5 linked regions of the Ovis aries genome follow. The protein of the gene in region 1 interacts with the protein of each later gene in a biochemical or structural test. Links are inferred from orthologs where the notes say so. Each region holds a gene or a part of one and is shown in the gene's direction. Other genes may lie near its edges. The genes, in order: CASP3, HCLS1, granzyme B-like, GSN and PANX1.

What was found.
Region 2: of the proteins of CASP3 (region 1) and HCLS1, one has a biochemical effect on the other in vitro, tested with the Homo sapiens proteins (2 studies listed by BioGRID). The link is inferred for Ovis aries from reciprocal best matches to the Homo sapiens genes CASP3 and HCLS1.
Region 3: of the proteins of CASP3 (region 1) and granzyme B-like, one has a biochemical effect on the other in vitro, tested with the Homo sapiens proteins (2 studies listed by BioGRID). The link is inferred for Ovis aries from reciprocal best matches to the Homo sapiens genes CASP3 and GZMB.
Region 4: of the proteins of CASP3 (region 1) and GSN, one has a biochemical effect on the other in vitro, tested with the Homo sapiens proteins (2 studies listed by BioGRID). The link is inferred for Ovis aries from reciprocal best matches to the Homo sapiens genes CASP3 and GSN.
Region 5: of the proteins of CASP3 (region 1) and PANX1, one has a biochemical effect on the other in vitro, tested with the Homo sapiens proteins (2 studies listed by IntAct). The link is inferred for Ovis aries from reciprocal best matches to the Homo sapiens genes CASP3 and PANX1.

The regions. Positions count from the first base shown.
Region 1 is NC_056079.1:14,231,664-14,237,238, reverse strand, and holds the end of CASP3 (caspase-3), read left to right. Parts: coding exon 1-63; intron 64-1,352; coding exon 1,353-1,576; 3' UTR 1,577-3,682; downstream 3,683-5,575. UniProt on the Homo sapiens protein: Thiol protease that acts as a major effector caspase involved in the execution phase of apoptosis. Following cleavage and activation by initiator caspases (CASP8, CASP9 and/or CASP10), mediates execution of apoptosis by catalyzing cleavage of many proteins.
Region 2 is NC_056054.1:186,962,601-186,968,292, reverse strand, and holds part of HCLS1 (hematopoietic lineage cell-specific protein), read left to right. Parts: intron 1-515; coding exon 516-571; intron 572-1,186; coding exon 1,187-1,256; intron 1,257-1,847; coding exon 1,848-2,059; intron 2,060-2,460; coding exon 2,461-2,565; intron 2,566-3,079; coding exon 3,080-3,311; intron 3,312-3,411; coding exon 3,412-3,480; intron 3,481-3,679; coding exon 3,680-3,816; 3' UTR 3,817-5,692. UniProt on the Homo sapiens protein: Substrate of the antigen receptor-coupled tyrosine kinase. Plays a role in antigen receptor signaling for both clonal expansion and deletion in lymphoid cells. May also be involved in the regulation of gene expression.
Region 3 is NC_056071.1:32,605,799-32,612,388, reverse strand, and holds granzyme B-like, read left to right. Parts: upstream 1-2,530; 5' UTR 2,531-2,652; coding exon 2,653-2,707; intron 2,708-3,934; coding exon 3,935-4,082; intron 4,083-4,566; coding exon 4,567-4,702; intron 4,703-4,899; coding exon 4,900-5,154; intron 5,155-5,794; coding exon 5,795-5,938; 3' UTR 5,939-6,030; downstream 6,031-6,590. UniProt on the Homo sapiens protein: Abundant protease in the cytosolic granules of cytotoxic T-cells and NK-cells which activates caspase-independent pyroptosis when delivered into the target cell through the immunological synapse. It cleaves after Asp.
Region 4 is NC_056055.1:2,227,449-2,233,305, reverse strand, and holds part of GSN (gelsolin), read left to right. Parts: intron 1-2,197; coding exon 2,198-2,288; intron 2,289-3,231; coding exon 3,232-3,402; intron 3,403-4,028; coding exon 4,029-4,203; intron 4,204-5,614; coding exon 5,615-5,739; intron 5,740-5,857. UniProt on the Homo sapiens protein: Calcium-regulated, actin-modulating protein that binds to the plus (or barbed) ends of actin monomers or filaments, preventing monomer exchange (end-blocking or capping).
Region 5 is NC_056074.1:245,550-251,967, reverse strand, and holds the start of PANX1 (pannexin-1), read left to right. Parts: upstream 1-2,608; 5' UTR 2,609-3,061; coding exon 3,062-3,242; intron 3,243-6,418. UniProt on the Homo sapiens protein: Ion channel involved in a variety of physiological functions such as blood pressure regulation, apoptotic cell clearance and oogenesis.

The DNA.
Region 1 (5,575 bases):
ACATGGCCTGTCAGAAAATACCAGTTGAGGCAGACTTCTTGTATGCATATTCTACAGCACCTGGTAAGAAACTTACAGATACTGAAATAGGTAGATTTTAAACACTGAAGAGTGTGTTCCAAAGGCTATAGGGATTTTGATATCCATAAAAAGCCACTGTGTCTTGTTTTAGGGTGCCCTAACCACGGAGAAGTCTCAAAAAGTTGTCTTTAGCCCAGTTTGGCTAGAAAATGTGCCTGTGTAAGAAAGCACATTTGCACAGTGTCATTCATGAACTTGACACCACCTGGAATCCATATTATAATACAGGCCAAGTCAGAGCTTCGCCCACTTCCTAAAATAGGAGAGAGGTGTGTTTTCCAGGAATTCTTTGGGAGCTAGGAAACTGAAAGGATAAACATGAATAGCATATCAGTGGGTAGAAGTGGAACAAGAGAAAATAAGGTTAAAAATGATTTATGGCTAGGTTATCAACCTGCGCTTTGTCTCTGGTTGTATTACACGTTATGTGTGTGAGCGCTTGTCATCATATAAATTAATATATATTGATCATGGACTTGTTTACTCATACAACTAACTCAGGGTGTGTTTGGAAATACAGGGCAAGTGTATTTTTAAACAGTATAACATTTTTAAATATAGTTGATATGATTTATTTTAACCTCCAGGCATCTTTCCAGTTCAGATTAAAAGCAGTGGATCCAGGGACTTCCCGGTAATCCAGTGGTTAAGACTTGGTGCTTTCACTACTGTGGGCCCGGGTTCCATTCCCAGGTCCAGGAATTAGGTCCCCCAAGCCACTCAACGTGGCCAAAAACACAGCAATGAATCCACTAGTTTATCTGGGAAAATAACGATAAATACACTATTTCCCCTTTTTGGACTTTTGAATATGCTATAATGTGTTTATTATACTCCATTCTTTCCCTGTAGACAAATTTAAGACCCTCAAATGTATGTGCGTACATAAGCAGGTTGTTGGATAAGCCAATCATCTCACTGCAACACCATGCTACTTATAATGATCCTTTTTTATTTCTTTGCTTTTGCATTTTCTGCCTATAAACCTGTTCTTCCCTATTGGAAGGGAAGCCCAGGAAGTAGAATTCTCACTCAGTGGTGCAGTTAGCCTGCAATTGTTTTCCTTGTCAGAAGCAGAGGTATATAGACAACATCTACTTGGTTTTTGTTTTGTTTTCCCCTGGAACCAAAGTTATGGTATATTTTTCTTTTTATGGCTAATAATACCAATGCATGTTTATGTTGTTTTTTACCTTCATGAATATGTCACAATTGATTAAATCAGCTGACATCAACTATCTGTGATATTTTGGTTATATTTTGCCCTATAGGTTACTTTTCCTGGCGAAACTCAAAGTACGGATCCTGGTTCATCCAGGCTCTTTGTGAGATGCTGAAAAAGTACGCTCACAAGCTCGAGCTCATGCACATTCTTACTCGAGTTAACCGAAAGGTAGCGACAGAATATGAGTCCTTTTCCACCGATTCTGCTTTTCATGCAAAGAAACAGATTCCTTGTATCATGTCTATGCTCACAAAAGAACTGTATTTCTAATCACTGAAGACACAGATGATTTTTGTTTTTAACTTGTATGCCAAGTGACCAAACGGTGTAAATGATACTATATTTTCCTCTCACCTCTAAATCTAACCTAATGACCCAGGTGATAACTTTGAAACATGCCGCCTTCCTAGCAATAGAACTACTGTGCAGCTACCTCAAACACAGTTGGGTAGTTGAGACTGAGTTTAATGAATATGGATCATTATGAGAAGAAAATGACTGTAAATTAGCAGTTCTCTTAATTACCGAGGTTTAGTGCTGATGCTATGCTACACATATTCAAGCAATGATGGAAAAAGGTAAACACTGCAGTAGTGTATTTCAGCCATGTGGGTATGCCACTGTATCAGGGAACATGCCATGGTTTTTGTCAAACAACAGCAGTGACGATATGGAATGAGGCATCCTAGAACTCCATGGTCCGTACGTGTGGTCTAAGACGTGAAGACCTTGATCTTAAGACAATGGTATTTTTACATCACCTGTTTGAGCTCATGGTTTTGTGATGTTTGTGCTGAGCATATCTTTGCTGTTTAAAAGAAATCATGTTTTAGCATTGAAAAAGAACTAAATGTTTTACTTGGGAAGGTGTGAAAAAACTAAGTTGACCCTGAGGGTAAATGCAGCAATCATAAAGGGCCTCAGATTGAGGACTGTAAGGTGCTGAAATGCAACTCTTCCACCAGCTGCTGGGCCTCATGTGCCTGCAGAATATCTAAAGGGCTCTTCTGTCAAAACCTCAGACTTCGATCACACTGATAAGAGCGTGAGTTGAAGAAATTCTGTAGGGACATACTAAAACACAACTTCAATAAACAGTGAGGTAGGAGGAAGAAACAGTCAGTCCATCAGCTGGGCACTCCATAATTAGAAGATGGTTCGAGCCTGACCATGGACACTGCGCAGTCTCTGTGTGGTGGGGTCAGAGCCATAGATTACTGCTTCAAGAAAAAGAATACGGGCTAGATTCTTCACAGCTATGGGTGTGTGTGGAAGATGCTCCCAAGGCAAGAAGCTCCAAGAACGTGAATCAAATTAAACTTCTGAAATGGAAATTTTCCAAAGAGGGTAAGAGTCATCATAAAAATCCTAGCCCTCTAATTTTTGTTTTATTTCAAATGATGGCTTTTAATTGGATGTTAAAGCGAATTCTTATCCGCCTTTCTGCAGATAGTCCATTTTATAAAATAGACTTGACATCACTATCACTGAGTATCAGTCCACTTCTTACTTGACGCTGGAGGGGAGGAGGTCTGCAGTTTTCAGCTTCTCAGGAATTGCGTAAATTAATGCATAAGTACCTGAATATGGTTTACAAAAGGCTCTGAGTGTTTGGGGAAAACACTAAGGTTTCTCTTTCCCCTTCATGGCTAACAAGGTCTCAGTCACCTTTGCTACGCATGGGCATGGATGTGCCCAAGTGTACACCTCACCACGGAACTTTGTCCAGGAGCTACGGTTCTCCCGAAGAACAAGTCCTGCACTCACTCCAGAACATCCCTTTCTGCCATTCCTGAATGTCAGCCCGTAAAAGCAATTTCCATTAGCATTTCCTCATTTTCCAGTATAAGCAGTGAATGTGGCCTAATGGTCTGGACCCTCATCCATCCTTTGCAGAAAATGGGGAAAAAAATCATAGTACCCTCGGCAGTAAAATTTTTGAGCATGTTAACTTTTATTCTGTTAATGTTTACAATCAAGGGAGAATGATACAGTTATGATCGTATACTTTTCTCTGAAATGCAAGAAGCAGGGCACCCAGGACTTGAGCAGGCATCCAGTCTTCCCTCCTTTGGTGCCCAGGGAAACTGAAGGCCAGAGATGGGACGCAGACCGGGGAGGCTCTGAGCCTGCTTGCTCAGGAGGTGCTGAACCTTCTGCATCGCTGTAACCCACTGGTTCCCATGAGCGTTCTTGTGCTAAACAACGGTGCTCACATTTATAAATGAACGCTCTTTGTTTTGATTGTGTCTGTAACTTTTTCTGAGTGAATGAAGCATGCTGTGGGATCAGAAGGTATGTTCCTATGTGACAATTTTGTAAAAAGTTTGTTATTATGCATTTCTATTTCCAAATACAAATTTTAATTTAAAATGACCAATAAGTTCAAGTTCCTGTTATTGTTTCTGATGTGCTGCTAATTGAAGTTAAAATATTTTTAACCAAGAGCTTGATTTGGGAGGACCAACAATGATGTGACGGGACCGTTTAATCAAACACTTTGAGATGGTGTTAAATTACCAAATAGGGTAAAGGAGCCTTCTTGTTCCCTCTAGGGCCCTCTCAGAAGGCCCTGTTTCTAAAATTACATGATGCCAGGAAGGATACTAAGTTCTCACAAACCACAGCCCCTAAATATGACCATATTTTTGTTTGTTTCCTTGCTTTGAGGAATGGGGAGTAGCAGAGTATAAAGGCTATCACTGAAATGAATCATTTTCTACCCATAAATTGTTAACAGGGCTAATGGTGGAGGGGAGGTATGGAATAAACCATTAATGTTCCCCGATGGTCAGCTCTGGGAGAGGTGTTGAGGGGAAGAATTTCCCTCTTAACAAAGGAATATAAGTGCAAACATGAGTGGTTTGCATTTCTTCTAATATTTCTGTAGTAAACATATATTACTTTTAAGTCAGAAAACTGAAATTCTCCTAATTGGGAATAAGGGATTCCTATTTCCAAGGAGTGGAGAGCAGCAGGAATAACTCCTTTAAGGCTGTTGCAGGAACTTCCCTGGTGGTGCAGTGGCTAAGACCGTGCTAGAGGTGCAGAAGGCTGAGGTTCAGTCCCTGGTTGGGGAACTAGGTCCTGTGTGCTGCAAATTACTTTTTAAAGAAAGACTCTGTTAAAGCTGTAGTTTTGTAGTACATTGACAGTTGAGCCCGTTCTTTGTGGTTGTTTAGTCACTAAGTCATGTCCAACTGTTTTGCAACCCCAATGGGCTATGGCCCTCCAGGTTCCTCTGTCCATTGGATTTCCTAGGCAAGAATACTGGAGTGCATTGCCATTTCCTTCTCTGGGGAATCTTCCCCACCGACCCAGGGATCAAACCCACATCTTCTGAATTGCCAGGCCAATGCTTTACCACTGAGCCACCAGGAAAGCCCTGAGCCCATTCTAATCTCTGCTAAATAAAAAAGGCTAAAAAGAAAAAGACCAAGAACCTGATAGAAAAATGAACCAAGGGCCGTGAACGGATAGTTCACAGAAAAAGAAAGACCAAATATCCTTTACACCTCAGAAGAAGAGATTAATCATCTTAATAAGAGAAATGCAAATTAAGGTATCATTCATCACCTGTGAGACTGACAAAAATCCTCAAGTTTGATAACACTATGTTGGCTGAGCTGTGGGGAAATGTATTCTCCCACTGGTAAGAGTGCAAAATGCTGGGGGAGAATCCAGCAATAGCTGTCTAATCATTTACTCTTGAAGTAGCAAGCGCAGGTCTTGAAATTCAAACTAACCTGTCCACGTATAAAAGTATATACACAATTCTTCATTGCAACATTGTTTTCATGGTACAAAATGGCAGCAACCCAACTGTAAAAAAGATACATCCCCACAGTGGAACACAATTTGCTGTAAAACAGAATGAGGAGAATCCTCTTAAACTGATGGGCAAGGATCAGCATGCCTGAGGAGGTGGGAAAGAACGAAACACAGAACGCTATAGACAGTAGGATGTAGTTTGTATAAAAAAGGAATAGGGGTGGGAGGGTATAAGAGTTTGCATAAAGTGAGGAATGGATAAGGATACATGCATGTATATGCACGCACACATGCAATGGAATATTACTCAGCCATTAAAAGGAGTGAAAATGCCATTTGCAGCAATATGGATGGACCTAGAGACTGTCATGCTGAGTGAAGTAAGAGAAACAGAAATAGTGACATCCCAAATATGCAAAATCTAAAAAGAAATGATACAATGAGCATATTTACAAATAGAAACAGAGAACCAATTTTCAGTTGCCTGAGGGGAAGGGT
Region 2 (5,692 bases), on another chromosome or scaffold:
CATAGAGGATGGCTGGGGGGCTCACTTTAATTTTTTTTCTATTTTTTAAAATTTAAATTAAAATATTTTTTTACAGTATTGTGTTGGTTTCTGCCATATAACAATGTAAATCAGCCATGATTATCCATACGTTCCCTCCCTCCCCTCCCCTCATCCCAGCCCTCCAGGGTATCACAGAGTGCCTGGGCTGCCTATGCTACACAGCAACTTCTCGCTTTAATTTTTCCTGTGTCTTCCTTTATATTTTCCCCTTTTCTGCCACTTCTCTCTTTTTTGTTCCTCTCTTCGCATGTCTCATATCTCCATTCTCTCCCAGGTGTTTTTCTCCCCCATCCTTTTTCATCTTTTCCCACACATTCCTCTGTCTATCCCCTGACTTACACACTTCCTCATCGATCTCTCTGTTTTCCTCATTCCTGTCTTCTGGTCCTCCTTCCCAATGCTCCTCCCCCCTCTTCCCATACATTTCTAGCATTTAACTCCTCTTGTGACTCTCAGATATTTCCATCCTGCAGATTATGCCAAGGGCTTTGGCGGGCAGTATGGCATCCAGAAGGACCGAGTGGATAAGGTAAAGCACCGGAGCACCAGTGTCTTGGGAAGAGTTCCCTGACATCCATGGAGGGGAGTGAGAGGCAAAGTGGGTAAAAGGATGAGCAAAGCCAGGTGCCCCGCACTGTCCTCCTGCTCTTCCCATTGACTGCCCTCAGCATCTAATGGGTGTGTCTTCGGATGCCTGAGCTTTATCAAGAAGACTGAGGAGGCGGAGAGAGACAGGGAGGCAGACAGACTCCAGGGAAAAGTATTTAAAACTTCACTGATTGCTTGGTATTGATTAGCTCAGTCAATAATCTAGCCCCACTCCATTCGGTCTTCCCCTGCGCCTCTCCATGTACTGCATGTACTTCATGTACTCCTGCGTTCCAGGCAACTGGTCTTAAAAGATGTGAAATTCCAGGAGCACTGAGCTTTTTTAAAGGGACAGCTAGTCCTACAAGCCTAGAACTTTTTTACCCATCTCTCTGATGCAAAACAACAATATTTGAATACCCTGTCTAACTACTACTGAGCATCAGAAGTTTAGGGAGACCTCCTATAGTGGCCCCAATCCCTGATACTGCCTTCTGGGTCATTACCACTCCCTTCCCTCTCCCCACCACTACACATACTATTCTTCTGCCTGCAGAGTGCTGTTGGCTTCAATGAAATGGAGGCCCCAACCACAGCTTACAAGAAGACGACACCCATAGAGGCTGGTGAGTTTTAATTCCCTCTCTCTGTGCTCCTCAATCTCCTCTGCCTTCTCATTCTTTTTTTCTTCCTAGACTACCTACTCCAAGCATTTAACTACCTAGGTTAGCTGAGGTAGACTTGACCCCTACCCTCAAATTCCCAGATTCTCTATCCTAAAAAAAATTAGGTTAGGTGGATATCTGAGTGACACTGGGGAAGAAACTGTACGTAGCGAACACAGGGATGAGGGGAGCCATCTGGGAAGAACACAAAGGGAAAGGAACTTTGGATGGGGGACAGTGGGTAGATGGTAGCCTGAGGGTATATAGATTTAAGAAATGTGCACAAGGAAGGATGCAGGTTAGCGGACCAAGCCTTAAAGGAGTAAGAGCCTGAGATCACATGGTCTGTCTATGTGAAAATCTAGGCTTCAGGGCGACCTTATCCTCCTCTAAGCCCCTTGTTCCTTCATTAATACCTCTTTACCTCCATTTCCATGAGTCCCTTCTTGATTTTCTCTTCTTCTGGATGTTTAACTGACTCTTCTTCTTTCCAGTGCTACCCTCCTACCTCTGACCCAAGACAACCCTAATTTTTCTTGACTGTGTCTGTAGCTTCTAGTGGCGCCCGTGGGCTGAAGGCAAAATTTGAGTCCATGGCAGAGGAAAAGAGGAAGCGGGAGGAAGAGGAGAAGGCACAACAGATGGCCAGGCAGCAACAGGAGAGAAAGGCCTTGGTAAAGATGAGCCATGAGGCTCAGCAACCAGTGGCCACTAGGGAAGAGCCGGCGGCACCAGCCCCATTGCCTAAGAAAATCTCCTCAGAGGTAAGTACTCAGCCCTCCGGGATCCACATCCAGCATTCTTTGCCCGGACAAGAGCCTAGGGGGTCTGTATCCTTAGTAAAAGGGAAGACCCAGAACTCCCCTGTGCTAGCAAAATCTCCAAGTGTTATCCTTGTCTTTGGAAGATTTAAATCTAATTGTGTAATTGAGCTTCATATATACATATGAGAATGCTCAGTGGAAAAAAACCCCAAGATTTACATAGTTCAACACGCAGTGCAGTCAGTTACTGCTGCAAGAACAAGAGGAAGGAGCGTCATTTCAGGTTGGAGCCCATCTTGAGGAATGACAGATGTGAACAGGCAGAGACAGGAAGGGGTGTTCCAGTACAGGAGAGAAGATAAAGTTTCTTGCTCACTGGAGAGATGCTTCATCCTTCACAGGCCTGGCCTCCAGCAGGGAGTTGTCCACCATCAGAGCCTGAGCCTGTGAGAACCAAGAGGGAACAACCAGTACCTGCCCTGCCCTCAAGGCAGGATCCCCCAGAGGTAAGCAGACCGCCCCCCAAAGATCTGCACCTTTCCCATCTCCTCATGTCCTAGTAGGTGGACATGGCCCTGCAGGCTGATCAACCACCCTGGTTTGCCTGGGGCTATCCTGACCTTAGCACTGGAAGTATTATATTCTGGGAAATCACCCAGTCCTGGGCAGACTAGGACAGTCATCCTAGCTGTCATCTTTTCCCCTTTTAGATTTTTCCTTGGTCTTCCAAGGAATCTGTCTTATGTTCCATTTCCTTCTCCTCATACCTTTTACATTCCCCTTCTATTAACATCGTCTGTTGGTAGATGTTTTGAGTGGATGGATGTGGGAAGAGGTTGAAGAAGGAAGAGGGGTGAGAGACTGTTCCCTAGGAGAGGCTGTTAGAAGGAGCCAGGACTGGACATGGAAGTGGAAGCATATGGACGATAGGGTCTTAGCAGTCCTCCACTGGGAGGTTTTGGAGAGTCATCTCTTGGAAAACAGAAGTCACCTTTCTTCAAGTATACTATCTTTTCTCAGGACAATGAGGAGGCCCCAGCTCTGCCCCCCAGGACTCCAGAAGTCTTCCAGCTGCAGGAAGAGCCAGTGTATGAAGCAATGCCTGAGCCTGAGCCTGAGCCCGAACCCGAGCCTGAGAATGACTACGAGGATGTTGCGGAGATAGACAGACATGAGCAGGATGAGGAAGCAGAGGCGGACTATGAGGATGTGCTTGAGCCTGAGGATCCCTCTTTTTCTTCCACTCAGGCTGGTGAGTGGTGGGGCAGAAGAATTCCCCCATTACATGGGAGGACCTGTCTGTGTTCCTTCTCCATGTTGGTAAGACCATGTTCATATTTCTCCCTGTGCAGGATCATCAGGCCACCCAGCCAGGGCTGGAGCTGGGATCTCAGCTGTAGCCCTGTATGATTACCAAGGAGGTAGGTTGGGAGTGCTCTGAGGGGTCTGGTGCCTGGAGCCCCTTGATCCATGAGAGGAGGGTGGATTTGGGGGGTCAGAATAGGGCCCCAGACTTGGCATCAAGGACAGGCCTCTTTCCCTTCCTGAGCTTTAAAGGGGGCACAGGGGTGGAGGGATTTTTGCCTGACCATCCTAATAGTCTGTCAATTTTCTCCCCAGAGGGAAGTGATGAGATTTCCTTTGACCCAGATGATGTCATCACTGACATTGAGATGGTGGACGAGGGCTGGTGGCGGGGACGTTGCCACGGCCACTTTGGACTCTTCCCTGCAAATTATGTCAAGCTCCTCCAGTAACTGTTCCTGTCTCCTTGCTGCACTGTGACTTCGCATGTCCCCAGTGGCTCTGCCTCCAGCTGCTCTCCATTTCTGCTGCAAGTGTCTGACAGGATGTCATGAGTTGCTTGAAGTTCTAGACAGACTTCCCTCTCCCTCTCCATCAGGTTTTGGAGCAGAGGAGGCATGAAGAAGGGGGTCTCCTTCCCCTCAGTGTCTTCTCTATCCTGCATACCCAGGATGATCTCAGGGATGCTTATCTTGTGGTCCTGCCTCCTTCCCCGTGAGTGCCCCCTCTAACCCATACCCCTAACTCTGCTTTCCTTTGTGAGTGCTGAGCTTCCTGGTCTGTTTGCATGGCAAGGTATGTCTATATTTCCTAGTTTTCCTAGATGTATTGTTTTCTCTCTTTCCTTCTCTGCAGAGATATCTCTGACTCTTCTCTCTGATCGGTCCTAAATTGGAAATAAAGTGGGACCATGGTTCACCTCTATTCTTTTTTTTTTTTTTTTACTTTAAATATTGTATTAGTTTTGCCATACATCAACATGAATCTGCCACGGGTGTACACGTGTTCCCAATCCTGAACCCCCCTCCCACCTCCCTCCCCGTATCATCCCTCTGGCTCATCCCAGTACACCAGCCCCAAGCATCCTGTATCCTGCATTGAACCTGGACTGGCGATTCTTTTCTTATATAATATTATACTTGTGATTCTGAGGTAAATAGTACTTTTACGTGGCCCTCAATGCCCCTAACTCTCATTACAGGTAGAGGGAATTTTCCTTCCCTCTTTCGCATATTCAGAAAAATCCTTCCAATCACCGCCCATCACTCTGAACCCTGGTGTCAAGGGCTGTGCCTTTTCCTTAGACTATACTGATAGCCAGTTGAAAAAGAGATGGGCCTGGGGAATGGCAGTTAGGTTGGGAAACAGGGGCCAGGAAGGGTCTACATTAAGCAGTTCAACTTCTACTGGCTTCAGCAGTTGTGAGAGGTCAGCCACCTTCCACCTGGGAGTAATGACATTTCTTTAGTGCATGATGTTGGCTGAGACAGAAGCACAAATTAGGGGAAAGGAGGAGGAAAAGATTGGCCAACAACAAAAGATTAAAACTAAAAGGGAACAATTGGACTTCCCTGGTAGCTCAGCTGGTAAATAAACTACCTGCAATGCAGGAGATCCCGGTTTGATTCCTGGGTCAGGAAGATCCCTTGGAGAAGGGATATGCTACCCACTCCAGTATTCTTGGACTTCCCTGGTGGGTCTGCACTGCGGAGGCCTGGGTTTGATCCTTGGGCTGGGAAGATGCCTTGGAGGAGGGTATGGCAACCCATTCCAGGATTCTTGCCTGGAGAATTCCCATGGACAGAAGAGCCTGGCAGGCTACAGTCCATGGGGTTGCAAAGAGTCAGACATGACTGAGCAACTAAGCACAAAAGGGAACAATGAGATGATAAAAAGGATTTGGAGTCAAAGATAGTGGCCTCTACTAAAGAAAGTCTAGGCTTCCCTGTAGCTGGATGAATGAAATCAATGGCCGTGTAAGAAGGTAGATTGAGTTTCTCTGTGGTACATGAAGTTTCTCTGTGGTACAGGGCTGAGGCTGATAGAAGAGGTGAGGACCTTCGGACAGCCAGTGATAGGCAAAAAACAAGTCATCAAGCAAAGTATGGGGATGAGATCAGGATGCAGTGAGTTTATCTAACCCAAAGCCATTGGGATTGGCAAGGTCCGGAATAGGAGACCCTAGGCAAAACAAAATCAAATCAAACTGAAAGTCAGGATTCGGTATAGGGTTGGTAGAAAATGGCTTTCTTGGTGGCTCAGATGGTGAAGAATCTGAAGTCTGTGCTATAACCAGTATCTAAACTTGGGTTCAGCTTTCAAAGATGG
Region 3 (6,590 bases), on another chromosome or scaffold:
TGAATCTGAAGCTCCATTACTTTGGCCACCTCATGCGAAGAGTTGACTCATTGAAAAAGACTCTGTTGCTGGGAGGGATTGGGGGCAGGAGGAGAAGGGGACGACAGAGGATGAGATGGCTGGATGGCATCACTGACTCGATGGACGTGAATTTGGGTGAACTCTGGGAGGTGGTGATGGACAAGGAGGCTGCAATTCATGGGATCGCAAAGAGTCGGACATGACTGAGCGACTGAAATGAACTGAACTGAACTGAGTACAAATTGTCTTTTTTAACCACAGAGGAAGGAAGCTAGAAATGAATGAAAAAAGGAAAACTGGAAAATTCACAAAAAGGAAAATATATGGAAATTAAACAACACACTCTTAAGTAACCAGTGGGCCTAAGAAGAAATTATGAGACAAGTTAGAAAGTACTTTGAGACAAGTGAAAATGAAAATGCAACATACCAAACGTATAGGATGCTGTGAAAGTCATGTTCAGAGGAAAACACATAACTATACGTGAGGACATTAAAGAAGAAACATTCCTAACCAGCAACACAACTGTAAGCCTAACAAAATAAAAACAGATCAAACCACTCAAGCCAGCAGATATAAGGAAACACTAAAGATTAGAGCCAAACAATCAAAATAAAAAGAATCAACAAACCAAAAGTTGGTTCTTTGAAAAGATCAATAGAATTGATACACTTTTAGCTAGACCAACAAAAAAAGAGAGAGAGAAGATTCACATTACTAAAATCAGAAATTTAAAAAAGGGGACACTACTACCAACCTCAGAGAAATGAAAAGAATTGCTAGAGAATACTATCAATGTTTGCATACCAACAAATTAGATAAAATCAAGATGAAATGAACAGTTGCCTGGAAATACAGAAATAACCAAAGCTGATTCAAAAATAAATAGGAAATCTAATCAGACTTATGACAATAAAGATTGAATCAAAAATCAGAAACCTTCTAACAAAGAAAATCCTAGGCTACCCTGGTGAATTCTATAAACATTAAAGAAGAATTAACACTAGTCTCACCCAGACTTGTTCAAAAAATTAAAGAAGGGGGAACACTTCCTAATACTTCCTACTATCATCCCAAGTATTTTAAATGCACTGCCATGATAATAATCTATCTGTGAGACATAAGCAAATGAGTAATATTTTTCCTTTCTACTTTCCAAATTTTCTTAATGAACATATACTACACACAAATAACAAGGCTAATTTTATTTTTAAAATTTCTACTGGTGGGCAAACTAAGTTCAAAAAAGTAAATGTTCGATAAATGTATTTGGTTTGATAAGGAGGATATTTACCCTGAAATTATGTCTTTTGATGCATAATATTCCTCAGAAAGCTGTAAAGTACAGACTACGTCAAGATAGACACTTAAATCCCCAGACTCTAACCACTCAGAGATTCTCTGTTGTTCTTGAACAGGGCTGGGTTTGGACTATTTAGAAAGAACTGTCCTTTATTTCCATACAGCAAGGTCTTCAGCAGAGTTTGTTCAGCCAGTGTGAGCCTCTAATGTGCCTGGCCTGCTGAGTCTGAAGTGTGGCCCTCTGGACACAGCACAGACAATACTCAAAGGACAATTACTGGTCTTCACTCACCCAGCATGCTCTCCCACTTCACATGGCATGGGCCACTTAGTCATCCAAACTTCCTTTGGCGAACCAGCCCTTTCCCAGTCTTAGTTCAGGTGGTTTAAGTGGAATCCGCCCCAGCCTACTCAAAGGAGGAATGACCTAGGCTTATATCAATCTGTATATTCAGTTTCTAGAGTCATAGTGATTCATTAAATTAGACCAATAAATGCCAAGCGCAGTACGTTTGTTTGCGAAACATGGACAAGAGAAATGTACTCTATCACTCTGAGTATTTGTAAGTTTTTTAAATGGTGGGGGTTTTTTGGTTTTTTAATTAATTTATTTTAATTGGAGGCTAATTACAACATTGTAATGGTTTTGCCATACATTGACATGAATCAGCCACGGGTGTACATGTCTTAGAAAGGAAGTTAAGAGGATGAGTGGATGGCTTATGGACTTAGTAGGGGGCAGGCGAGCTCTGTGCATCCCTGGACCACAGCCCTTCCCATGCTGCACTCAGGTCATGGATGTCTCTTTCTCCTCCAGCAGATGGTCAGCTCTCTAAGGGAAGCAGATGCATCTCCAGTGTGTTCGGTCATAACATAGAGAAGAGCTTAAACCCACATCTGCTCAAGAAGTTATCCTGTGGACTCAGCAGCATGGAAATGAGGCCCTGATGGTTCTACCACTGGGGACTCTGGTTTCTGGGCTCTACTACCTCTGCTGGTCGATACCACACCCTACAGTCCCCACCTTGTCCTCTTGGGTTCCTGCTCTGGGCTGGAACAAGTGGTCTGCTCTGAGTCATCATCTGTGGGTACTGGTGTGGTCACAGTATGATTCTCACACAACCACCCAGAGAACGTCATCAGGCAGATGGAGTGGGGGCGGGGCAAGCTTTCATAGAAAGCCTTTAGGATGAAGCATTGCAAAGCCGGAGGGGAACACGAGATCACTGAGTCCACGGACACTGCGTTTCTCTCCAGGAGGCTGGGGGATCTGCAAGAGAGCCAGGAGGAAGTACCAGCATCTCCATCCTGGGCAGTCTTTCTCGGAAGATGCAGCCACTCCTGCTCCTGGTGGCCTTTCTCCTGACCCCCAGGGCAAAGGCAGGTGAGTGACCATCCCCATCCCAGGGGCCCAACCCCACCCTCCAGGTGGCACAGAGGTCCCGCCCATTCTGCATGTCCCTGATCCAGCTATCCACCAGGAAGGAACATTCAGAACACCAGCTCCCATCCCACCTCATACCAGGGAGTATGATGCTGGATAAACCGCCAGCAGGAGAGAGAGAGTGCAAAGCCTGCTCTCAAGAGGAGCCAGTGGGTACCAGCCCCTCCTCCAGCCCTCCCTTTGCCCTCTGGAAAGTAGAACTTTCCCAGAAGTGATGGCAGATGGTCGCAACCTGGAGAAAAGAAAATACTAAATTGCCCCTGAAGAGGGCAGAGTGGGTCTGGCCTCTGCTTCTAGTTACCTCAGCATCTGCTTGGCAGACCCTGGAGTTGGTGCCTCTGTGTTTGCTCAACCCCTAGACCCAAGGCCCTTTACCCAACTCAACTTCCCTTCCCAGGCCATCAGGTGCTCCTCTCTTTCAAGGATGAAGCCAGTGTTTGGTAGACCTGAACTGCTCTGCTTCCCAGAAGCACACCAGCACTGGCCATACCAACAGCCCCCATCCAGAGGCCCACTGTGAGCAGGGAGGGTGCAGGAGGGGGCATGGTGACTCCTTCATGCAGCCAACAAACACCGGGCACTTACTACCAGTCAGGCCCTGGGAAAGAGGCTATGGCGACATCTAGGTCCCTACTCTGAATTCCTATGCCCTGAAAAACAGAGCCGTCCTGAATAAAACAGGATAATGGGGCCCTTAGAAATTCACCTAGAATGAAGCACAGGTCGGGGAGGAATTTTCAGAAGCCTCTAGGACTTGGCTATCCCTAGGACAGGAATGAAAAGTGAAAGTGTTGGTTGCTCAGTCCTGTCTGACTCTTTGCGACCCCAAGGACTGTAGCCCACCAGTCTCCTCTGTCCATGGAACTCTCCAGGCAAGAATACTGGAGTGGGTTGTCATTCACTTCTCCAGGGGATCTTCCCAGCCCAGATATCGAACCTGAGTCTCCTGCATTGCAGGCAGATTCTAAGCTCACCTCCAATTATGTGTGGGAGACAGATTCGCAGACCCAGACAGCTGCTCTGTTCTAGAGGAGGAAGTTGAGCCCCTTCCCAGCCTCCTCCCGCCCCACCAACTCCAGGCCAGGCTGGACTCCCCAGTGCCCAGCAGTTCTGAGCATGAAGCCGATGCCAACAAGGTACACAAGCAGAACAGCCCTTTTCCTTCAGGGGAGATCATCGGGGGCCATGAAGCCAAGCCCCACTCCCGCCCCTACATGGCGTATCTTCAGTACTGGAATCAGGACGTCCGGCATAGGTGCGGTGGGTTCCTGGTTCGAGAGGACTTCGTGCTGACAGCCGCTCACTGCCACGGAAGGTGAGGAGCAGCAAGTAGCCGGTACCTTTCTGAACACCCTTGGCAAGGGAGCCCTGCCTTTTTTCTCCAGGAGCAACCAGGCTGTTAGGAACATTGAGCCAAGAGGGTTCCTGGGAGGGCAAGAAAGAGGGGGCCAGGAGAGTGAGAGGGTGAGAAAGAGGGAAGGTCACTGCTGGAGGTGTTGCTGAAGGGAGAGAGAATAGACATAGGGCGCGCCTGGATATCAGAATGTAAACCAATGTAACTTCACATGTGTCCTAGGGCTAACTGCCCATGGAGAACAGTTATGCTCTTCACAGTGGCTCCAGAATCTGACCTTGGCTGCCAAGAAACAGACAGTACAGACAGCTTAGCCCCCAGGGCCCTCCTGGGGCCTGCATTTCCCTCAGTGGCAGCCTTGCCCTGGAGTCACCTGCCCTCCATGGCTCCAGGGCTGTAAACCCTGAGGTTGTGACCCCCATCTCCTGCTCTGCTCTCTGTGAAGCTCAATGAACGTCACCCTGGGGGCCCACAACATCAAACAGCAGGAGAGGACCCAGCAGGTCATCGGGGTGAGAAGAGCCATCTGCCACCCAGACTATAATCCTAAAAACTACTCCAATGACATCATGCTATTAAAGGTAAACCGCCCTGCTTCTCCTGCCCTCCCGGGATCAGCTCGTTTCCCCTCCCAGGACCTCCTACCGCTTTCTCCCCTCCGATCCTGGCCACCTGACCAGTCCCTGTGGCTCAGGACAGAGAAGAGACACATCAGCGTCATTGCCGTGTCCAGGCTTGGGGACCACTGGCTGAGCCGACTCTTGTCTCTTCCCATCAGCTGGAGAGAAAGGCCAAGCAGACATCAGCTGTGAAGCCCCTTAGGCTGCCCAGGGCCAAGGCCCGGGTGAAGCCAGGACAGGTGTGCAGCGTGGCCGGCTGGGGGAGGGACTCCACGGGCACCTGCACTGACACACTGCAGGAGGTAAAGCTGACCGTGCAGGAGGATCGAGAGTGTGAGGTCTACTTACGCAAATATAACCATACCAACCAGCTGTGTGTGGGGGACCCAAAGACAAAGAAAGCTTCCTTTAAGGTGAGAATCACAGCCTACCTTGCTTGGATCTGGGGAGAAGGGTGTTGGCAGAAGATCTGGGACCTGGGGACCACCTCACCCTCTAGGCTTGGGATCTCTCTCAGGAGTAAAAGGGGGAACAGCCGGAGCTGGGAGGACCTAGAGCCTCTGCAAGCCACGTAAGACCTACAGTGAATGCCAACCTGGCGCTCCTCCGGAAGGGAGAATCTGCCACGCACTGAGGCTCAGGTGTTAGAAAACCAGGCTTCCTGAGTGGGAGGTGGACCGGTCCAGGTGCCTGCTCAGAGCTGAAACCCACCTGCTTACTGAGCTCCCCCTCCCTGATCAGTGTCAGCCCTCCCAGCTGCTTCCCTGTCCTAAGAGCAGCCTGGAGCCAATAGCCAGCCCTCAGCATCTAGACAGAGAGGGGACGGAGACCTGGGGGCAGAGAAGGAGCTGCCCCCTGGGGGAAGTGAAGCAGGGACAAGGTCCAGGTCAGGGCTGGCAGCCAGGGGCCCATAGACCTGCCTTGCCCACTTGTCTCGCACAGGGACGCCTTGCAAAGTGGCCTTCTCAGATAGGGGTCTTGAAATGGCAGGGTGGGAGAGAGGGCAGGACCAGGAGGAGAGCAGACTCAGTCCTTCCGCTTCTCTGTCCTCAGGGGGACTCTGGAGGCCCTCTCGTGTGTGACAATGTGGCCCAGGGCATTGTATCTTATGGACGAGAAGATGGATCAACTCCTCGGGCCTTCACCAAAGTCTCAACTTTCCTGCCCTGGATAAAGAAAACCATGAAAAGCCTCTGACTGCAGGAACCAGACCATCTTCCCTGGGGCTAATCCAGAATCACACTGTGGGGTTGGAGGTGCCCATAGCTCAATAAATGTCTCTCAGCAGAGCTCGAAGGGCTGGTTGCTTATTTATTCACTGACTCCTATTCACAAACGCTCACTGTGTGTTTAGAAAGGCAATGACAGGATTCTGCTGTTTTCTGTTCCTCCTCTCCCCTCTCCCACCATCTCTTCCCCTGAACCCCATGCAAAGCTGTCACCCAGGTCTGCTTCCCCACACCTGTCTTCCAGGGCCGGCTGTCCCACCAGGGCTGAAGCTGAGCACCATCAGGGGAAGACACGAACCTCTCTGGTCCTGGGGCTCAGGGTGCGCTCCTTAGCTCCTTGCTCTGGGTACATGGCAGGGAGGAGTGGGTCACACCATTGGTCCCCGACACCAAGAGCAGAGCCTGGGGCTGCAGCTCCAGGACAGAGACCCTCCTACTGGGGAGCGGGGCTACCTGAGCTGACCTTTAACCCCTACAGCCAGGGGAGCCTGCCCAGAGCTGGGCTGGTCTCCTGAGAAGCCCCTCCATCTCACTCAGGCTGAGTGTCCTGCTTTGCCCTCCAAAGAGCCCAGGGCCCCCTCTCTGCCTCCAGTCTCCTCTGCCGCCCCTTCTTCTCCATC
Region 4 (5,857 bases), on another chromosome or scaffold:
CCGGGGCAGAGGGGCGGAGCCGGGGGCAGAGGGGGCGGGGGCAGAGGGGGCGGGGGCAGAGGGGGCAGAGGGGCGGGGGCAGAGGGGGCAGAGGGGCAGAGGGGGCAGAGGGGGCAGAGGGGGCAGAGGGGGCGGGGGCAGAGGGGGCGGGGGCAGAGGGGGCGGGGGCAGAGGGGGCGGGGGCAGAGGGGGCGGGGGCAGAGGGGGCGGGGGCAGAGGGGGCGGGGGCAGAGGGGGCGGGGGCAGAGGGGGCGGGGGCAGAGGGGGCGGGGGCAGAGGGGGCGGAGCCGGGGCAGAGAGTGGGGCGGTGGGCCCAGGCCGGGATCACGGCTGGGGCAGAGGACAGGGCTGAGGAGAGCTTGCAGGTGTGTGAACCTGCACCAGCACAGCCGTGCTCCACGGGGAAAGGCTTTTGTTTCCGGGGCAAGACCGCTGGTCTTACTCTCAAAACAAATTGTAAACTCATCTCATAAAAGCATCACACGTCCATTGTAGGAGAGACATGGGGACTAGGGAGAAACGAACAGAAAATCTCTCCCTCAATTCCACTCTAAGTTCTATTTATCCTCTGATGTTTTCTAACTAAGAATTATTTTTAATTCTTTAACGAGAGATGATATGTTTACGACTTTTCCCACCTTGCTCTAAAACCCTCACTCCTCTGTGGGTGCTTGCCTTCATTAGCCTCTTACATACCCTTCCAGCCATTTTTATGCAGATAAAAGCAAAGCTGACCCTGTATCCCTAGTTCCCCTCCCTTCCTTATGCAAAAGATGGCATACTGTGTATACTGTCCTGCACTTTGCTTTTTTTTTTTTCAGTTAATACTTCCTGGAGCTCAGACTATGTCAGTCCATAAAGAGCTCCCTTACTCTTTTTTTTTTTTTTTTTTTACAGCCATGTAATATTCCACTGTGTGGCTGTCCTGTAGTTTATTTAACAAATTCCCTGCGGATGCATATTTGCTTTGATTCCAGACTCCTACTATTACAAGCACTGCTATGATTAGTTGGCTTAAACAAACATCATTTTGGATGCGTAGAGAAATATCTTTAGAGTGAGTTCCCAGAAGTTGGATTGCTGGCTCTGACAGTGAATGCGCTCGTCCTTTTGACAGATAGCACCCAGTTTCTCTAGATGAACTTTGTGCCGTTTGCATTTTCACCAGTGACAGATGAGAGTATCTGTTTCCTCCTGGTCTCACTGGTGGACTGTGTTATCACACTTCCGCTGTTTGTCAACTTTAGAGTTGATAAAATGATATCTCAGTATAATATTTTTCAGTTCATTTCTCTTTCTGTGCAATCTTAAAGGTTGACTGATGGGTTTCTTGTTTTTTAAACTTTTCGTTTTGAAATGACTTGCTGAAAAGTTGCAAAAACAGTGCAGACAGTTATCTGTTACAGTTCCCTCTAGGGTCACCTCTTACTTAACCATAGTTCAGTTTTCAAAACTGGGAAATTAACATTGTTGCAAGACCATGTCCTCCTCTATAGATGCTTCTTGAATTTTGCCAGTTCTCCCACTAATGTCCTTTTTCTGGCCTGGGATCTAACCCAGGGTCTCACATGATATTTAGTCATCACATCTCCTCAGTGGCATTTAATCATCGTGTTCTCCGTCTTTTAATCTGTGACAGTTCCTCAGGCATCACTCTTCTTTCCCAGCTTGGATGCTGTGGAAGAGCATTAGTCTTATTCTGTAGGTTGCCTCTCAGTTTGACAACCTCAGACTTTTACAAGCAGCTTGAAAGAAATGTTTCTGGACTAGATATTAATAATACACACATGGAACAAAATTCACGAGAAGGCTTTTAGAACATTTCCTTTGATCAGCACGTTGATCTGTTAGACTGCTTATGCAGATAACACAGGTCAGTCATGGGAAATTTAGACGGCAGAGGAAGGGGTGAGGCAGAAAGCCCCTGTCCGTGCATCTCCCTGTGGGGCAGGTTTGGGACGAGGACGTCCCCTGGTTGTGGTCAGACCGCTGTAAGAAGACGACATGCTGAGCTGGGGTGTGTGGTGTGTTGGTCTGGTTCCTGGCTCTGGTTCCTTTTCAGAGAAATCTCTTTTCCTCTCTATTTGTCAGTTTCATTACCTGTAATCTGGAGATTTGTGGGTTTCTCAAGCCCAGGGTGACGGAGGGGCCCTGGCCTCTGTGCAAACCGAGGTGCTGAGGTTCACTTCCCTTCCAGGCAGGGCGCCCAGTCCACCCAGGATGAGGTCGCCGCCTCGGCCATCCTGACGGCTCAGCTGGACGAGGAGCTGGGAGGGACTCCCGTGCAGGTGAGCCCAGCCCGCTGCTCACTCATCTGACCGTCCCTCATCCCACGCATCCATCCTTTTGACAGACATTTATGCAGGATGCGGACGCTGCGTCTGCAAACGTGAACACAGATAGATCCTCCCCCCGGCTCCCAGCCCCGCCCTGCCCTGAACCGCTGTGATGTGGTTTATTACAGTCTAGTCGTGGGAGAAAGAGGTTCATTAGACATGCGGGCAGAGGGTGTATAATCACACACGGCCTGAATTCTCACCAGCAGGGTGGAGCTGGGGTCTAGGCTCTGACCCAGCAGTGGTGGCTCTTGCTAGGAAGGGACCACGAGCCACCGTGTGCGGTGATCTGGATACAGGCAGCACGGGCCACAGCTGGAATCTGAAGTGACGCGGGCACACAGGGCAGGAGCAGATGGGAGGACAGAGGAGGTCCGTCCTCCGCTCAGACCTCCTTGTCCCCTCCTCCCACCGCCAAGCCCTCGACCGCAGTCTGCACTGGCTCTGCAGGAGGGCTCTCTCCAGACCTGGAAGGCTCTTTTCTCACCACTCTGCCAGCTTTCTTGGCCGAGGCTGACGTCACAGTCCGGGAAGAATGTCCACGAACCATCCCTGGGCTTCCATTTAAGGGAATATTTGCAAACATGGGCTCTCTGGGTTCTTGGACTGGACCCAGCCTCAGCCAGGCCAGGCCTTGTGGGAGGGGAAACGCCAAAGCAGTGCCCGGGGGACCTCAGCCAGCAGGGCCATCTCCAGCCCTCCTGCACGTCCTGCTCCCCGGCCAGCCCCTGCGCGCTGTAGGGCCACGCCCCGCTCCACACACAGACCCAAGCGTGACGGCTTGTTTGGGGGTGAGCCTGGGCCACGCCAGCTGCCCTGATCTGAGCCCAGTGTGTGTGCACAGCACGATGCTCGTGCCTCCCTTTCCTGACCTGTGCTCCCATCTCCCTCTCAGAGCCGTGTGGTCCAAGGCAAGGAGCCCGCTCACCTCATGAGCCTGTTCGGCGGGAAACCCATGATCATCTACAGGGGTGGCACCTCCCGCGAGGGTGGGCAGACGGCCCCTGCCAGCACCCGCCTCTTCCAGGTCCGGGCCAGCAGCTCTGGAGCCACCCGGGCCGTGGAGGTAATGCCCCGGGCCCCGGACCCCCAGCAGGATTGGCCTCTCAGAAACCTCTCAGGCCTGATGGGCAGATCTCTGGATCTGGTGGGGGTGGCTGAGGGGCTAAGAAGCAGCTTTTTGTATCTCCCTGCCCTGGCAGCAGGATTGTATGTATTAGAGTTCCCCTTGTTTCAAGAATGCCCAGTGTCCCTTGCATACCTTCCACGACGGGCAAGTCACTACCTAACAAATAGTCCATTCTTCACGATCTGGATGTTGTTCTTGATTCCATTCCACTTGGCTGCTGTCCCTTTCATGGTGGAAGGTGCAGAAGCTGAGCATAATCCTACTGTGCAGCCTAGAGGACAATGGGATCATCACCTCCTTTGTTCTGGGTGCTCAACTTCTATTAATGCATCCCAGGTTTCTAGAGTCTCCTTGGCTGAGCACAGTGCATTTGTGACTCACGGGAGTCAGCGAGGCCTCTCAGCGTCCCGAGTCCTTGTCCTCAGCTCTGATGGGGCACACGCTCCCTCCTCCAAATCCACCCTTAAGAGCTGCTCTTGCTGCAGCATCTCCTGGACCGTGAGGAGGGGGCTGAAGCCTTTTTACCTGTTTCCTGATTGACTAATTGAGCACTACCCTCCCAGGTGATGCCCAAGGCTGGAGCACTGAATTCCAACGATGCCTTTGTCCTGAAAACCCCCTCGGCCGCCTACCTGTGGGTGGGTGCGGGAGCCAGTGAGGCAGAGAAGACTGGGGCGCTGGAGCTGCTCAGGGTGCTTCGGGCCCAACCCGTGCAGGTGGCAGAAGGCAGCGAGCCAGGTAGGAGTGAGGGGCGGGGGGCTTGCTGCTCGCTGGGGACGGAGCTGCTGGCTTCCCCTGCCTCCTGTCTGCTCGGGGCTTTCGTTAACCTCCTCCTGCCTCAGTACTTGTCCCTTAACGTGTGTCCATTAAAGTGGGTGAGATGAAAACGGGGCTTCCCTGGTGGCTCAGACAGTAAGGAATCTGCCTGCAATGCGGGAGATCTGGGTTTGATCTCCGGGTTGAGAAGATCCCCTGGAGGAGAGCATGGCAACCCACTCCAGTATTCTTCCCTGGAGAATCCCAGGGACAGAGGAGCCTGGCGGGCCACAGTCCATGGGGTCACAAAGAGTCGGACACAACTAACACGTACACACGAGATGAAAATGAGAATGCGGTCGGTGAGAGGGAGGCGTCTGGGAGTTAGAGAAAGGAGAGCTCAGTGTGGGCTGGGGCAGGCGGGGAAGGCAGCTGGAGTGGGGCTCACTTGCGGGAAAGCTGTGAAAGATTGTAGGTGGCAGCATCAGCCTAACCTTGAGAAGCTTCGTGGACAGAAATGCCACAAGCCTGCCTTATTTCCAGAGTGTGGGTCAGGAACACTTCCATTATGCTAACCATAGATCTTTCCCTCCTTACTTTTAAGCCCGCTCTCTCTTGCTTGATGCTGAGCAGAAATGGGGAAGGATAGTTCAGTCTAGAGTCACATAATCCACTGAAAACGTTGGAAAGAGTGGACATGTCCCGTGTCTGCTAGGTCTCATGCGGTGGCCACGAGTCACGTGCCTATGGGGTTCCCTGCTGGCCCAGGGGTACAGAATCCCCCTGCCAGTGCAGAAGACTCAGGTTCAATCCCTGGGTCGGGAAGATCCCCTGGAGAAGGAAATGGCAACCCACTCCAGTATTCTTGCCTGGGAAATCCTGTGGACAGAGGAGCCTGGTGGTTAGTCCATGGGGCTGGAAAAGAGTCAGACACGACTAAACCACCGCCAGTCACATGCTTCAATTAACATGTATTTAAATGTGACTGCTGGGAAAATGCATTTGAATAAAAAGCACACGTGGCTAGAGCAGCTATAGTGGGAAAGTACAGGGAACAGGAGCTGGATGAGGAGCTTACTCCGCGTGCACTGTCTGGCGCTGGGCGAGTGGCTCGGCCTCTCTGAGCCTCAGCCGCCTCGAGGGCGTCGCCTGTCTCAGACCAGGAGCAGCCCCGGCCCTGTGTCTGCTGCCCAGTCCACCCTCCCGGGCCTCTGCTTCATCACCCTCGAGTCCTGCAGGCCCTTTCCTTCTTTGTCATGCTGGGGTTTTAAGATGCCGGGTGGCGGTTGAGAGCACTTGGCTGTGCGAAGGCAGCGTCTGTCCCAGAGTCTACAAGGAAGTGCTGGAGGGGGAGGTGGTGTCGGCTGGTAACTGGCATGGCCTCCCCTCACAGATAGCTTCTGGGAGGCCCTGGGTGGGAAGGCCGCCTACCGCACGTCCCCACGGCTGAAGGACAAGAAGATGGACGCCCACCCTCCTCGCCTCTTCGCTTGCTCCAACAAGATCGGACGTTTTGTGGTGAGTCCCAGGGGAGGTCTGAGGTCGCTGCCTCTGCTCGCCCCTTGGGAGGTGTTTTCCAGGGAGCAAGCTGAGGTATCCGCAGCGGGGGCAGGGAGAGACCTTCGATGACCCAGTG
Region 5 (6,418 bases), on another chromosome or scaffold:
AAAAACATCTATTTCTGGTTTATTGACTATGCCAAAGCCTTTGACTGTGTGGATCACAATAAACTGTGGACAATTCTGAAAGAGATGGGAATACCAGGCCACCTGACCTGCCTCTTGAGAAACCTACACGCAGGTCAGAAAGCAACAGTTAAAACTGGACATGGAACAGCAGACTGGTTCCAAATAGGAAAAGGAGTACGTCAAGGCTGTATATTGTCCCCCTGCTTATTTAACTTTTATGCAGAGTACATCATGAGAAATTCTGGACTGGAAGAAGCACAAGCTGGAATCAAGATTGCCAGGAGAAATATCAATAACCTCAGATATGCAGATAACAACACTCTTATGGCCGAAAGTGAAGAGGAACTGAGAAGCCTCTTGATGGAAGTGAAAGAGGAGAGCGAAAAAGTTGGCTTAAAGCTCAGCATTCAGAAAACTAAGATCATGGCATCTGGTCCCATCACTTCATGGGAAATAGATGGGGAAACAGTGGACACAGTGTCAGACTTCATTTTTTGGGCTCCAAAATCACTGCAGATGGTGATTGCAGCCATAAAATTAAAAGACGCTTACTCCTTGGAAGAAAAGTTATGACCAACCTAGATAGCATATTCAAAAGCAGAGGCATTACTTTGCCAACAAAGGTCCATCTAGTCAAGGCTATGGTTTTTCCAGTAGTCATGTATGAATGTGAGAGTTGGACTGTGAAGAAAGCTGAGCGCCTAAGAATTGATGCTTTTGAACTGTGGTGTTGGAGAAGACTCTTGAGAGTCCCTTGAACTGCAAGGAGATCCAACCAGTCCATCTTAAAGGAGATCAGTCCTGAGTGTTCATTGAAAGGACTGATGCTGAAACTCCAATACTTTGGCCACCTCATGCAAAGAGTTGATTCATTGGAAAAGACTCTGATGCTGGGAGGGATTGGGGGCAGGAGGAGAAGGGGACGACAGAGGATGAGATGGCTGGATGGCATCACCGACTTGATGGACATGAGTTTGGGTGAAATCTGGGAGTTGGTGATGGACTGGGAGGCCTGGCCTGCTGCAATTAATGTTGTCACAGAGTCGGACACAACTGAGTGACTGAACTCAAGTGAACTGAAGTGAATTGTGATTTTCATTAAGAAGAAAAATAGAGGGGAACAGTGGATAACATGTACACAGCATTCATCAGTCGCCAGGCAATGTCCTAGGCACCTTATGTATATTAACTCTTTCAATCTTTACCTCAATCCTAAGCAGTATGAGGTACAGAGGGGGCATGCAACTTTCCCAAGGCCTGCAGCTGGTATCACAAGAATATTTAACAAAGGATTAACAAAAATTAATCCTGTTTAGTGTTTGCAAGGAAGACCCTCCAGGGGAAGTGACATCGAGCAGAACAGTCCAGGCAAAGAGGCTACTGTGGATGTGTTTTGGGGCAGGTGAAGGTCTGGAGGAGGCAAGAGCTGGCTAAGTTGAAGAACTGAAGGGAAAGTAGTGCAACTGGTAAGGCAGGCAGTGACCATGCAAAATAATTTGAATTTTATCCTAAAAACAAGGTACACTTTAAGAAGGGGAGTGATAGGATAATACTGGAGATTTTACAAGCTTCCTTTGGCAGCTGCTGGGGAGAAGGGCTTCCCAGCCTGCAGGGCCTACCTGTACGTGGTTAGGAGAGAGGATGGCAGCACAGGTGGAGGAAAATGACTAGATGTTCAATATTTAGGAGCTAGAAGCCAGAGAATTTGGAAATTGGTTAAGGGAGCTGGGAGAGAGGGCGCTGTTACACAAGGCAGTCCAGGTGTCTAGTTTGGGCGCATGGTCGCATGGCACTGCTTTGAGCAAGATGGGGAAGACTGGAGTTCAGGCCAAGAGGGGATGCGGGTTGTGTTCCTGGCCATTGTGTGGTCCTGGTCCCATGAGTCCCCTAAGCGGAGGGTCGTGCAGGCCGTGGGACGAGGACTCCGAGGGCAGGGCGGGGTGGAGATGTACACAGGGCAGGTGAGCGCACACAGAATAGGCTTGGCTGCACGGACCTGCCCGTGTACAAAGAGCAGAGACGTCAGCCCCGGCCCAAGGAGCCCTCCTGTTCAAAGGTCCTGCCAGCTCCAAGTGTTGCTGATCACAGCGTCTCTTGACTGTCTCTCAGCATCCCAGATCAAGGCTCCCGTGGGCAAAGCGAGAGGCGAAGCACAGACCCCTGAGACAGAGTCAGGCGCAGTCTCACCACTCTGAGCCTGCACCTCCCTGGCCCCCAGTGTTCCTGCAAGAGTTAAGTGCCCCGTCTTCCACGTTTGCTCCGTCTAACCCGTTCGCTCGCCTTTTATGGCGCCCTTTGCACCACCTTCTGACCCGATCCCGCCATGTAGAAATGCTGGGGGTGAGGCGTAAGGGGGCCGTCCGGTCTGCAGGGTGACAGGCCACTTCCGGAAGGGACTTCAAACTTCCCGGCGCCCGGAAGGGGAGGGGATGAGGGTGGGAGGGGGGCGAGGACTAGCCGAGGTGCCGCTCGCCCGGACGCCCCTTTCCCAGGGTTGCGGGCGCTGCCGCGCTCACCGCGCCCCCCGGCTCCCGGAAACACCGCGCTCCCTCGGCGCTCGCTCTCCTCCGAGGTTCCGGGAGAGCGCGCGGGGCGGGCCGAGAGCGCGCGGGGCGGGCCGAGAGCGCGCGGGGCGGGCCGAGAGCGCGCGGGGCGGCCGCAGCCGGGGCCTCGCGGCGCGGCTCGTGCTTTGTTTGGCCGCGGACTCTCGCCCTCGGGCGCGCGGCGGCGGCGCGGAGCCCGGGGACCTGCCGGGGTGGCTGCGCCCCGGCCTGCGGTGGAGGAGCGGGCGCGACCCGGGCTCCCGTGCCCGCGGAGCAGCCCCGGGACACTCCAGGCCAGGCGCCGGGAGAAAATGGCTGTGGCGCATCACGGTGCAAAGACCGGCGGAATGTGGGAGCCACCGGGGAGCAGGCAAAGGGAAAGCGAAACCCGCGGGCTGGGCTGGTGACGGGCGAAGGCGCCGCACGGCCCTCCCCACGCCGGCAGTCCGCAGGCCTGCCTCGCGAACCTGCCCGGCCCAGCCCGGCGCGCCGCAGCCATGGCCATTGCGCACCTTGCCACCGAGTATGTCTTCTCGGACTTCCTGCTGAAGGAGCCCTCGGAACCCAAGTTTAAGGGGCTGCGGCTGGAGCTAGCCGTGGACAAGATGGTCACGTGCATCGCTGTGGGGCTGCCTCTCCTGCTCATCTCGCTGGCTTTCGCGCAAGAAATCTCCATTGGTGAGGTCCGGGGCTGGCGGGATCGGGGCGGGCTGGGCCGGCGTTATCAGAGGTGCCCTGGTCTCTGGCTGGAAGTGATTTTACCGCGCGCCCCTGGCGGTGCTCGCCGTTGTCAAGGGCATATGCACGTTGGGAAGGAAGGTAGCCAGATTTGATGGTCTGAAGCATCCTTTGTCCACGTGCTCCCCGCCTCCCCGAACCGTGGACCTTGCTCGTGTCCCACTCCCCAGTTCGCCTGTTCCCTGCTGCCCACTGATGGCTTACTGGCAGTGTGCCCAGTCAGTGCCTACTGCTGACTGTGGCTTAGTGTTCAAGCCTCACTCCTAAGACCGGCGCCGTTGTCACTAGATTTGCCTGGAACAACTGTTTCCTCTTCCCTCCACGCCCACATTTCTGCAGTCACCCAAAATTTGTATCAGGGAAGCTCCTTAGTGTCTAAATGGAGGATATGAGAAAAAGTACCCCAATCAAAGTGCTTTCTCCCTTGTCTTACATTAAATTAATGTGTACTGAGACAGCAGCTGCAGGGTTGTGAATGATGGGAAATAACTGCTCTTGGCCAGTATTAGAAGGATATCCAGATCCTCTACCTGGATGGTCTTTTTGGAATGTGAGATGAATGAATCGCCTTCATGTAAATTCTCATGTGTTATAGCAACAGTTCTGTGAGATTCTGAAAGTCTGGTGGTCTGGGCAGGATCACGTGGCTACGAAGCAGCTGGTCTTCCTTACCAGCTGTTCTGACTTTGGCGGGGGCGGGGTGGGGGATGGGGTGGGGGGAAAGTGTTTTGAGTCAACAGGAAGGCAGCCTGTGAGGCTATACACAGCTCTGTGGAGCGGAGGTGGCCAGTGGGCTGAAGGATGGGGAAAGCTTGTGTGAGAAGCTGGGCTGGCCCTGAGCCCCTGCCCGTGCGTAGGATGTGGATAAGCAGAATTGACACTTCTGCCAAGATTTTGAGATGGCCGAGAAGGCCCAGTTCCTGGAAGGACAGACTCAGCGAGAGAGTATCCTCGCTGAGGCGGAAGGATTGGTCAGGGTTTCCGACATATGAGAGTGAATATGGGCCTGAGTCAGTGAGAACAGAAGACTTGGTTTAAAAAGTGAAAAGTTATGATTTGAGTAGAGGCTGGACTAGCTGAAAACAGCACTTAATAAGTAATAGGCTGAGGGCAGTGTGTAAGGTCTGGAGAAGGCAATGGCATCCCACTCCAGTACTCTTGCCTGGAAAATCCCAAGGACCGAGGGGCCTGGTGGGCTGCTGTCCATGGGGTCGCTAAGAGTGGGACACGACTGAGCGACTTCACTCTCACTTTTCACTTTCATGCATTGGAGAAGGAAATGGCGACCCACTCCAGTGTTCTTGCCTGGAGAATCCCAGGGATGGCGGAGCCTGGTGGGCTGCCGTCTACGGGGTCGCACAGAGGACACGACTGAAGCAACTTAGCAGCAGCAGTGTGTAAGGTCTGTGAAGGGGAGGAGGTTAGAGCTAGGAATGATGCCAGAAAGATTCGGAATCAGTTGAGGTCTCCTGTGAGTGTGGGCCCCACGACTAGAAGGGAAAGGATGGGAGGTTTCCAGGAGCAAGGAGCCTCGCTGTTGGGTGTATAGCTTTCCAGAGGCCCCAAAGGGCTGAACTGATCAGAGATAACGGAAAGGCTGCAGGCCTAGTGATTGGAGAGTCATATTGACAGAAGTAGTGAAGTTGAGGGAAGAGTTGGTTAGAAAAAGGTTACAGTGAGCTTGATTTTGTGATCTGCACCACAGAATTGTTCAACTTGGTAGGAAGTCACCAAATTCATTTCGAAAAGTAGTCTTCAGTTTTCCTTGTCATTGGGCAGGCATTGATAGTCGAAGCTTTCCCTCTGCCTTCCTGTGAGTTGAGGCTTCCGGGAGAAAGGAAAACCACAATGTAGCGTGGATTCTGGAGATGATCTGTCCCTTCAGTGAATGTTTCCTGAGGACCCAGTGCTGGGTGCTGAGGACCCAGGAGTTGGGGAGACGTGGGCTCTGCCATGGGGGAGCAGCCATCTGATGCCAGGAGCTGGGTACCATCTGTGATCAAACCTTACCTCTAGCCCACGTATTCCAGAGACTCTTAAGAGTGCTGTCTGCCCCTTCTAACTGATGGGCTGTCTGAAAGGCATTTACTTTGGATAGGTTTACCCAGTGGGAGGCTGAGCTTTTGCTGTTTTTTTTTTTACTGGCGGGGGGTGGGGGTAGGGGTTGAAGGAGTTTGAGGTGTGGTCCCCTCCCCGCCCTGTAGGAGTTTACCATCCAGCTGGGCACAGGAACAGACTTGCTGGAGGTAAGGTGGTTCAGCAGTGTGTGATTCAATGACAGGGCAGTGTTAAGCTCTGAGCACCAGGTGGCAGGAGCTTGGGTGAAGCTGTCAGAAGACTCCTGTATACTGAGAGCTTCAGGACATTCGAGAGGAGGAAGGCAGGACCAGGGATGACATTAGACAAAGCCAGAGGACAGACTTCAGAGAGGAGAGAAGAGGTACAGGAAAGAGTGTGTGGATCTGGTCTGGTGGGGTCCTGCACGCTCTGGGAGGTGGGAGCAGAAGGGGCTCTGCCTAGCCATCTGTCCAGCGTTTGTGGGTCATCACAGAGGTGATGTGGTGTGGAAGGGCAGAGCGGGGCTGTGCCCACAGGCATGGTGGAGGGCACACTGGTGGCCTTTGCAGCAACCTGGAGCTGTCATTGCTCATTGGTCTTGCCTGCCCTGCGGCGGCCGGAATTACAAGCAGAGCCATTCCGGAGGGAGTTGCTAGGAGAATCATTTAATTTCTGAGTTGTGGCTGGAGAGTTTTAAAGACTTTTGCAAGGTGAGCTGCTGATGTTGGATTGATGTAAGAATTAAAATAGACCCCTGGTCTGGTTAAGCTTGATACTTTGCTCAGCTCTTCTAAAGCATTGCATGCCTGGCTCCCTGAGAGGGTAAGCTGGGTAGGGGGACAAAAAACCCCCGATTCCACACTAACTGATGCACAGCAGAGGACAGTTTAAATTTGACTGTGACTCTGGGCTGGTAAGACTGTGCGATGGGAGCCAGAGAAGAGGCTGTCGGCACTGACCACGTTTTCAGCACTGACCGCGTTTTTTTCAGCTCTCACTTTTTCTCTCCCCTTGCCTTGCATCATGTCTTGTATACAACAAGTGCTCAATTAAGATGC